Linked DNA regions of Macaca fascicularis. The protein of the gene in region 2 interacts with the protein of the main gene of each other region in a biochemical or structural test. Links are inferred from orthologs where the notes say so. Each region holds a gene or a part of one and is shown on either strand. Other genes may lie near its edges.

What was found. The genes of interacting proteins can lie anywhere in the genome.
Region 1: the proteins of HRAS (region 2) and RALGDS form a complex in vitro, tested with the Homo sapiens proteins (4 studies listed by BioGRID and IntAct, with this or other methods). The link is inferred for Macaca fascicularis from reciprocal best matches to the Homo sapiens genes HRAS and RALGDS.

What each region holds. Positions count from the first base shown.
Region 1 is NC_088389.1:10,646,859-10,651,824, reverse strand, and holds the start of RALGDS (ral guanine nucleotide dissociation stimulator), read right to left. Parts: upstream 3,434-4,966; 5' UTR 3,319-3,433; coding exon 3,136-3,318; intron 2,232-3,135; exon of another isoform or gene 1-2,231. UniProt on the Homo sapiens protein: Functions as a guanine nucleotide exchange factor (GEF) activating either RalA or RalB GTPases and plays an important role in intracellular transport. Interacts and acts as an effector molecule for R-Ras, H-Ras, K-Ras, and Rap.
Region 2 is NC_088388.1:433,174-438,023, forward strand, and holds the start of HRAS (GTPase HRas), read right to left. Parts: upstream 3,127-4,850; 5' UTR 2,710-3,126; exon of another isoform or gene 2,694-2,709; intron 1,098-2,693; exon of another isoform or gene 953-1,097; intron 1-952. UniProt on the Homo sapiens protein: Involved in the activation of Ras protein signal transduction. Ras proteins bind GDP/GTP and possess intrinsic GTPase activity.

The sequences.
Region 1 (4,966 bases), on a different chromosome or scaffold from region 2:
CTGGCAACGCAGACAGGGCCTGCCAATGCCCAACTTCCAGGTTAAGAATCAGACCCCAGCCCTGCCAACAAGCAGCTTCATATCTCCCAGGGCCATTCCTGAGCTTCCTGGGAAACAGGCCAGCATGCCTGAGCATCCCCCACCTGGAGAAGAAACAAAGACCCAGGACCAGCCAGCCTTGTCGCCCTCTTCTCCTGGGGGACCCTCCCGAGGAGTACAGCAAGAGGGGAACCTGAGGGTCCTGGGGGCTGCCCCTTCGGAGTCACCTAGGAAGCTCTCCTGGAAGACCAGTCTGCACACATGCACGCAGGGACACACACCCACACAGGGACAGGCTCCTTGGCTCGGGTCTTCAGCGTCAAAGTGCTCATGAGCCCTGGCGATTAAACCAAAGACCTGCACACAGTGTGATCAAGAGATCAAACAGTGGGAAGACGCGGGAGGCTGAAGGGAGATGCTCCCTGTGAATACAGAGAGGCCCTCTCCACTCCAGCCCACCTACAACTGCCCTCAGGCAGTTGGGTCAGAATCCTGCCCCTGCCACTGACCAGCTTGGTCACTCTGCACAATCGAATTAGCCTCTGTTGCCTCAGTGGCTTTATCTGTCAAATGGGCTCTTACCAGTCTTGACCCCAAAAGGAGGTGATGCAAATTACTTAGCTCAGAACCTCCCCAAAACCTGCTGGCTCCTATTAGCTGTCATTTTAAACCTGCGGGGTCTAGTTCTGGGCTTGCTTCCTCCGGGTAGCTCTCCCCGGCGTCCTGTGGCCCAAAGCACTTTTGCCTTCCTCTGAGCCATAAGCTTCCCTACTGCTCGGGGCATCTGGGCTGCCTGGGCCTTCTCTGATTCCTGACGGCTCCTGCACACAGCAGGTGCCACAGAGAACATAGCCCATGCTCAAATCCCGGCTGTGGCCCTTGTTGGCTGCACGGGGGTTTAGGTCGGAGACTTCCCTTCTCTGACCCCCCAGCTTCCTAGAAGGTGGTGTTGGCACCTACTCTGTAGGGTTGGTCTAAGGCAGATGAAGTGAGGGGGTGGCCCACAACCTGCACTTTTTGCCAGGCCAAAGCAACCGCCTGTCCAGAGATGGGGGCACCAACCAGGTCACCTCCAGAAAGCAAGAACTGTGCAGGCCAAGCTGGGTCGGTGGTGGCTTGCCTTAGAACCGAGAAGATAAGCGGAAGCCCAGATGTGAGAACATCTGGCAGCCCAGAGGGAAGCACCGGGTGGAAGCTAGGTAGGGAAACAGGGGTGTGGGGGAAGGCAGAAAAACTGTCTGGTGGTTTCCAGAGGACAGGGACCAAGTGCGCAGCGTCAGCTCTGGCAGGCCACATAGCCACCAGGAAACCAGCCCCAGGATAGGGGGTGCTGGCAGGAGGGACAGGGACTTCCCCGCCCCCTCCCTTGGGCCCTTGGTAAATGGTCATTGTGTTCAGTTTCCGGCAGTGGCCTCCTCTCCTGCCAGGATCCTGGTTTTCCTGACCCAGCCAGAAGTTTCCCCTTTGATTTTTAAATAGCAGCCACAGGCTGGATCTCAGAGCTGAGGCTGGGCCAGGAGGGCCAGGGCCAGAGAGGGAAGGCAAGATCCCAGGCAGGGGTGGGGCTCAGCTCTGCCTCTCCCTTGGTTCCTCAGGGACGGAGAGAGCGAACCTGCACGGCCCCTGTGAGCGCTCCGCCAGACCCTCCCAGCACACAAAGGCCGAGCTGCTGCCAGAGGTAATGAAAGCCAGATGAGCGCTGGGCTGCTGTCAGCCTCCCACTCCCACCCCCACCCTCCCAGGGGTCCCTCTCCAGCCGCCAATGAGGACCAGAGCCCTGGGTAGATGAGGGTTGAGGGAACACGTCTGGTCCGGCCATCTGCCAAGCTCAGGAGGAAAGGGTCTCTCAGGCGTGGGGTGTTCCCCCACCAAGAGCTCTTCCCAACACTGGGCGGAGAAACAAGTCTCATCCAGGCCCTGTCTAGGTACCAGGACACCAAGAGGCACGAGACTCAGGCTAACAATCGCCAGCAATCACAACACGCCACAGTCTAAAGCCATGAAGGGACTGGAGATGCACCAAGGCGACACGATGCAGCACGGGGACTCAGGAGGTTCACTGTGAAGGCTGCAGCCCGGCCAGAGCTCTGATGGGCCCTGAGCCCCTGATCCAGGGATGGCCTCTGTGCAGGCCCTGTACCCAGGCAGAGCAGGGCGAGGGGGGCGTCTCTGAATTAAACCAAAGACCTGCACACAGTGCGATCAAGAGATCAAACAGTGGGAAGACGGAGGCTGAAGGGAGATGCTCCCTGTGAATACAGAGAGGCCCTCTCCACTCCAGCTGTGCAGTCAGGTGGGAGGCAGATGGCACCACCCAGAGACCCAGGGCACACGAGAAACAAGCCCCAGCCCTCACCTGGTCACCCTCCCATTCATCCATCACACGTACACCACTTCCTTCTCTGAATCCTACCCAGTCCTTACAGATTCAGGGTGCTGGCACTCTTTCCAGTTAAGCAGAAACAAGTCTCGCCCGCTCTGGGCCTGGGCTACCCTCCTCCGCTCACCACCAGGACATCTGGTCCCACGTGTTGGAGGCCTGCTGCTCCGCCTCATTCCGCGACCCTCCCCCCAAACCCGCCCCGCTGTCCCTGGTCACCAGATCCACATCTGCCCCAAGTAGGGTCTGTCTGGAAGGCCCCTATGGTCTCATCACCTCTGAGGATTCTAGGATTCGGCCCTCCCGACCACTTGTTCCACACCTGCATTGGAAAGGCTAACGACGTGGTGCAGGCCCTGGGTGGGCAACTGGGTGAAATAAGGCACAGGCCACCGATGTAAACAGTGACAATGCCGCAGGAAAAGGTCCACCTGGGTTGCGGGGACTCGGTGACAGCAGGACCTGGGACGGTATTGAGGGGGGCAAAATCCCAGCCGTGGTCCCTACTGTTGGACGGGGCGGGGCGGCAGCCCCCTGGCCCACCCTGCTGGCTGATTTCTGCAGAAGGCCCCGACCCCCACCTACGGAGGAGGGAGGAGAGAGGCGGCCCGCTAGGATAGCCCGGCCCCGTCCAGGGCTCGCCCCGGCCTGCCCAGCTCTGCCGTGGGTGGGGAGACTCCGACGCATCCCCCACCCGACCGCCCCAGCTCACCCACCTCCGGGCGCGGCAGGTCGGGGTCGAGCTGCGTGAAGCTGTGCAGCACCACCGGGCAGCTGTCGGGGACGCCCACCTCCAGGCGCACGGCGTCCCACACGCTGCGGCTCCGCCGGGAGCCCGGAAACAGCGGCTCGGCGCCGCCAACAGGCCCGGCCGCCTCGGCCCACATGCGCTGCACCATGGAAGGCTCGTGGCAGGGGCCGGGCCGCGGGACCCGGGGCAGCGCGGGCGCGGGGCCGGCCCGGCGCGCGGCGGGGGCGGCGGCGCAGCCCGCGCGACTGGGCTTTGCCTCCGCTGTGAGCCCGCGGCCCGGCCCCTGCTGATGTCAGGCTGGGGGCGGAGCCGGAGGGGTGAGGAGGGCGGGGCCAGGGAGGGGCGGGACCGGAGAGGCCCAGGGACGCGTGCGTGCGTGCGCGCGCCCGCGGCCCCGCCCTCGCCGAGGTCAGACCCGGGAGCCTGGAGGGGCGGAGTCTGAACAAAGAGGGCGGGGCCGGGGAGGTCGAGGGGCGCGCGTTGGCTGGGTCTCCCTAAAGGGCCTGTTGTCACGTGTGTCGTCGGGCCTTGGGTACCCCGCTTAGGCACCGTCTGCGTGTTACGCTGCTGCAGTGCGTGGGTTGTGTAGGTCTGAAATCTGTACGTGCTTATGATGTGTGGGGAAGCTGCCCTGGTGTCGCCAACCCCGAATTCCAGCAAAGCCTCTCCCCAGCTCTGTGGCCTTCCACAAGTTGCTTAACCCCTCTGAACCTCACTGTTTCTTCATCTGCAAAATCTGGGTAGTGAAAATGACTTCCTCAAACAACTGCGGGGAGGATGACATTACGTGAGGGACATAAAGCACTCAGCACCTGCACCTGACTACAGGCTCATGCGGAGTTTGGAGAGGCTGACTATGTGTTCAGTGACCATGTCAGTGCAATTGGAAATCCTGAGTGTGGGGCTGTGTGTGCAGTGGGGGAAAGAGTGGGGCCCTACCATTTTGGGGGTAAAGCCCCATACTATCCCCTTTCAGCCTTACAGACACCCTCAGAGGAGGGGAAGTCAGGGAGGTGGGGGAGAGCGGGAGGCGCCAAGGTTGGGGCTGAGAGGCAACTGAAGAGGAAGGCATCAAGAGTGACAATGCTGGGCAGATCACATGGCTGCGGGGCCTGTTAGCTGGGGCTGCTTGTCGCTTGGACATCCCTGGTCTCAGGGTGGAGTGGGGCTGCTGGGGCTGAAGGGGAAGCAGGGACAGGGAGATCCTCAACTACTCTTTCTGGAAGCCAGTGAGGAAGGAAGACAACCTGGGGCTTAACAGCAGGGCCAGGAGAGTGGATGAACTGCGCCTGCCCCGGCCTCAGCCCTCAGTCCTCAGGGAGGCCAGCAATCGCTGCCAGCAGCCCTGGCCATGCCAACCTCCCCACTGGTCCGTACCATTGGGCCTCAGTTTCTCCATCTGTAAACTGAGAGGGCGGGACCAGACAGCACATTCCACGAGCACATCTTGCCCCCTTCCCAAGTGCCAATCCTCAGACACCCACGGAAAACGCTTCCACTGTGACTGGAGTGAGGTGGCAGGTCATCCTTTCAGAACCAGACCCCCATGTGCACACGACTAGAAGGGCCTACTTCACAAAAATTATGGTGGTAAGTTGCAGCTGGGTAGAGAAGCTATACTGGCTTTCATTTTACTTCCCTGAATTTCTAATTTCTAAAATCAGTATTTTAATAACCAGCTGTATGTGATAAATGCTGTTTTTGATTGTTTTTTAGACAGAGTCTCGCTCTGTCACTCAGGCTGGAGTGCAGTGGTGTGATCTCGGCTCACTGCAGTCTCCGCCTCTTGGGTTCAT
Region 2 (4,850 bases):
GCCCTGGGTCCCAACGCCAGGCAGCAAGGACTGCAGCGTGCCTACCTGTGCAGCTGCAAACCAGCGCGGGGGAGGGCTGTCGCCTCGCCCCCACTTGCTGTTAAGGACCCAGTGAGGGGAAAAGGGAGCCAGCCTCCAAAGGCAGGGCTGACAGCTGAGCGCTCTCAACCAAATTAGAAGCTGCTGGGTCGGCAGAAAGACTAAAGGGAGGCGCCCGAGGGCTGAGGTTACCGTCCTCCTAAACAGGTCTGGCCACGGCGGAGCGCGCCACGGCGTGCCCGGGCAGGCCAGTGCCAGCCTGCAGGCCCCGTGGCGCTGGTGCCTCCGACAAGTATTTGCTGAGCGCCTACTGCGTGCTAGGCGCCGCTGAGGGGAGGGCAGACCCGGGCAGCGCCCCGCGCCCCCGGCGGGGAACCGGGGGCATCTTTCAGCCACAGAAAGCTGGAAAAGACAGAGGGGCTCCTGGGAAGCAGGGGCTGAGCCACAGGAAGGGGCCGAGAGGCGGCGCGGGAGACCCGGAGAGGGGAAGGGCCCTGGGGCTGAGGCCCCCGGCCTCGTCCGCGACCTGTGATGCTGAATCGGGGGTGCCCGGGCGTGCCGTGGCCGCGGCCGCCTCCGCCCAGACGCGCCTGGTTATGAGGGCGCCGGGCCCGAGGCTCCCGGGGACGCCGGCGTGAGGACCGTGCCCAGAGCGAGGCCACGGGCGGGGCCCGGATTCCCGCAGGCCCCAGGGACTAAGGGGCCTCAGCCCGCCCCCGCCAGCCGCAGCCCCCGACGCCCGCTCACCTGTGCCTGGGGGCCCCGCCCGGCCCGGCCCGGCCCCACCCACCCACTACCGCCGCCGCAGCCGCTCACGCCCGCCGGTCCCGCGCCCCCGGCCCGCGCCGCGCGTATGGCTGCCGCCTGGGGGCGGGGAGGGCGCGCGGCCCGGCCGACCCCGGCCCGCACTCACCGCTCAGTGGCGCGACTGCCCCCGGGGCCGGGGCCGAGGCCAGGGGGGGGCGGGGGCGGGGGCGCGCGGTTCTCCCCGCGCATGGGCTCCGTCCGCGGCGGGTGCGGCTGGGGCTGCAGGCGCAGGGAGCGGGCGGCGGAGACTCGGCCGGGCTCGCGCACGCCCCACCCCGCGCCCGTCCGTCAGCCCTGCGCGACCTACCATTGGCCTCGCTACACCAGGCCCCGCCCCGCCCCGGTTGGCTGAGCGGCCCGTCTGTCAGGAGCCGCGGTCGGGCAGGGCTTCCGGGAGCAACGCGGGAGGCGGAGCCAGAAGGGCCGCGGCCTCGGGGGGTTGGGCTAGGCCGGCGAGCGGAGGCAAGCTCGGGGTTGCTCAAGGAGGGCGAGGGAGCAGGTGTCTGGGGGCCTGCGGCGGCATATCCGAGCAGGGCCGTGGACTCTCCCGGGAACAGGCCGGCGAGAGAACCCGACTCAGCGGCGCCCGTGCACTCGAGGCCCTCCCTGCGTCCGCAGCGCGGCGTCGCCCACCGCGGAGGTCCCGGGGCTCCGGCTGAGGAAAGGCTGGGATCCGTCGGGACCAAGGCGGGCCGCTCGGAGCTGGGGGCCCCCGGGTGGCCGCGGGGTCCGGTTGCCCGGCTCCCCTTCCGCGCAGGTGGAGTGGCCCCGCACCCGGACGGTGCGCACCCCGCCTCCTCCGCGCACCCCACCTACCACACGCACCCCAGCTCCCCTACTCCCACCTCAGCCCACCCCGAGGACGCCTTGCAGCTCCGGTGGGGTTTCGAGCGGCGGGCGCAGCCGTGCTCCCTGGGGCCAGGCGTGAGAACGCCCCCTCCACCACTTCTCTTACTTGGGCCTGCGTGGCAGGCGACCCTGCCCGCTCAGTCCCCCCAGACTTGAGGTTCCAACCATGCAGAAGCTCAGCGTGGTGCAGTTAAACGGTACCTACAGGTTGCCACAGGAGAGCGAAGTGCCCAGGGCTCACCCCAAGCACAAAGACCACATCCTAGCTCTTTCAAACCCCAAAAGACGTGTTTTTTTTTTTTTTTTTAACATTTTTTTAAATTGCAAAGGAATCAGAAATACATTCTCATTAAAAAGCAAAAGGGCCATCCTGGCTGACACGGTGAAACCCCGTCTCTACTAAAAAATACAAAAAACTAGCCGGGCGAGGTGGCGGGCGCCTGTAGTCCCAGCTACTTGGGAGGCTGAGGCAGGAGAATGGCGTGAACCCGGGAGGCGGAGCTTGCAGTGAGCTGAGATCCGGCCACTGCACTCCAGCCTGGGTGGCAGAGCGAGACTCCGTCTAAAAAAAAAAAAAAAAAAAAAAAAAAAAAAGCAAAAGGGGCCGGCCGCGGTGGCTCACGCCTATAATCCCAGCACTTTGGGAGGCCTAGGCCGGTGGATTACTTGAGGTCAGGAGTTCAAGACCGGCCTGGCCAACATGATGAAATCCCGTCTCTACTAAAAATGCAAAAAATTAGTCGGCTGCAGTGGCGCGAGCCTGTAGGCCCAACTACTCAGGAGGCTGAGGCAGGAGAATCGCTGGAACCCGGGTGGCGAATGTTGCGGTGAGCCGAGATCGCGCCACTGCACTCCGGCCTGGGTGACAGAGCGCAACTTCGTCTCAAAAAAAAGGCGTTTAAAAGAAAAAAAGGCGTTTTACGGTCAGGCAAACCCTGCCTCTGCCCAACCCAGTGCCCGCCCCGCCGCCACGCCCTCCTGCGCCGGTCGCCGCTGACCCGGGGCTCCACCCACGTGCGGTCCCGGGGGTCCCGCCTGCCGTCCATCCACCGCGCGGTCGCAGTCAGAGCCCGGCTCGGGGCGGACGCGCATGAACGCAGGTGAGAGGCGGCGACTGAACGGCGGGCGGCGGCGTGTCCCACGGGCCGGGCACTCGGGCGCGCTTCGGCATCCGGTCTGTGTTTCCTGGTCCTCCGGGGCGCTTGCCCCGGTGCTTCCTTTTGCTGTCGGCCTCACTTCCAATCGAAGGTCAGGGCGTCAGGCCTCGACCCCAGGGGCGACCCTTCCACGTGGGAAAGGTGGGCGGGAGCCTCCAGCAGAGACCGCCCTTGCCGGCCCCGCGTGGGAAGCGCCGGGATCGCGAGGAAACGCGACACGTGCACCGCGACGGCCCGGGCACGGAGCCGCAGGGAGCTGGCACCTGACGCGCCTGCGCCCACCCGACTTGGTGGCGCGTCACCTCCCCCGGGATCGCCCACCCAAGTGCCAACTCACGTGGCCCCGCCCTAGCGACCGTTGCTAAGGGGCGTGGCTCAGCCCCTCAGAACCCGAGCCTCCTGCGGCTTATAAATATTTGCGTATTCAAATGAGGACCCGCCCACGTTGCCATGGGACCCAGGCCGCAACCCCGCAGCCGGAAGAACAGCCTGGAGTAGGAGACAGCGCCTGGCGGCGGAGGGCGCCCAGGGCCGAGCTGCCAGGGCCGGACACCTGGGCTGAGCCCTCAGGTGAGAGCCGAGCGCACCCTTGGGGTGGGAGCCACAGGCCTCGCCGTATGCCTGGTGGCAGGAGGGAGCCTGCGCCGAGGCGAGGGCGCGGGGACTAAGCAGCACAGCCAACGGGGACCCAGTGGAGGCCCCGCACGTCAGATCTGGTCCCCTGGGGACCCTTGCCTCCACCACCCCCTGGCCCTGCACTGAAGGGGCTCCCTGTCAGGAGGCAGGAGGGGCCCCAAGCCTTGCCCCTGAGGGAGATGCAGAGGCAAGGACCCAGGGTGCTTGGAGTTCCAGGGTGGGGCTCAGCAGGGGAGCGGGCTCTGCCCTCCCAGCGTCCATGGTGAAGGGGCAAGGGCTGCAGGGGACCAGAGGTGATGAGCTACCCACCAGGGAATGGCACTAGCTGGGGTGTGGAGACAGAATTCCTCCAGTTTCCAATTTGGGGAGCATGGGGGCTCGCAGAGGGGACACAGGGTAGGAGCAGGACTGCGAAGTGTGCGGATGGGTTCAGGCCTGGGCGAGAACACCAGGAGCAGTGTCTGAGGTGGGAGTCCAGTGGGGGCTTGGGACTCCACAGCCTCCAACCCCTGGTCCTTGCACCCCTAGGCCTTGGGGCTCAGACCAGCCTGATACTCGGGCTCTTGGGCACAGAGGAGACAAGGGTGGCTGACTCAGCCCTTAGTGCCACCCATAGATGTCCTGGGGCTGCGCATGACCCGGCCAGCTCACGTACTCCATGAGGCTCAAGACTGGCAGGCCTGGGATGGAGGTGGCCAGAGTCTTTGGGGGAACGCAGTGGTGGGGTCCTGCTGTGAGGCCTGGGGCCTTCCACCATCTGGAGAAAGGCAGGCAGTGGGGGAGATTCTGGCTGGAAACTCCATGAGACTCTATTTTGAGCTTATCTTCTTTGATTCTTGGTGCATGGTCACCTTCCAGACCAGGCCACTGAGGCACCCGGAGCCTGAGCCGCGGCCCTGCTCCAACACTCCCGCCCACCACCTCTGTCAACGGCCGGCCAACTCGCCTGGCGCAGGGGCAGCTGTAGACAGGATGGAGAGGATACATCTTCAATGTCCATATGTGGTCAACAGATGAAAGCCACGGCCAGAAAGTTCTAAGTGGCTACATGTGCATCTGCCTGTTCACGGATTCCTTCCACAAATATTTGAGCGTCGTCTCCTGCGGCTGTGGATAGCAGAGGAGCACCCAGGCCACGTGCAGGCCACGTGCAGCCCACAGCGCTGGGGCGAGGCAGGCCCTCAACCGAACACATAGTAAGACACACAGGGCTCCAAAGAGAATTTGTCTCATCAGGAAGATAAATCTGGGAAGGCTGGGTGGGGAGAGGCTGGGTGAGGAGTGCTCTCAAGGAGTCAGTCCAGGTCCAGACGGAACAGAGGAAGGTGGTCAGGGAGGAGGATGCTGGATGCTCCAAGCACA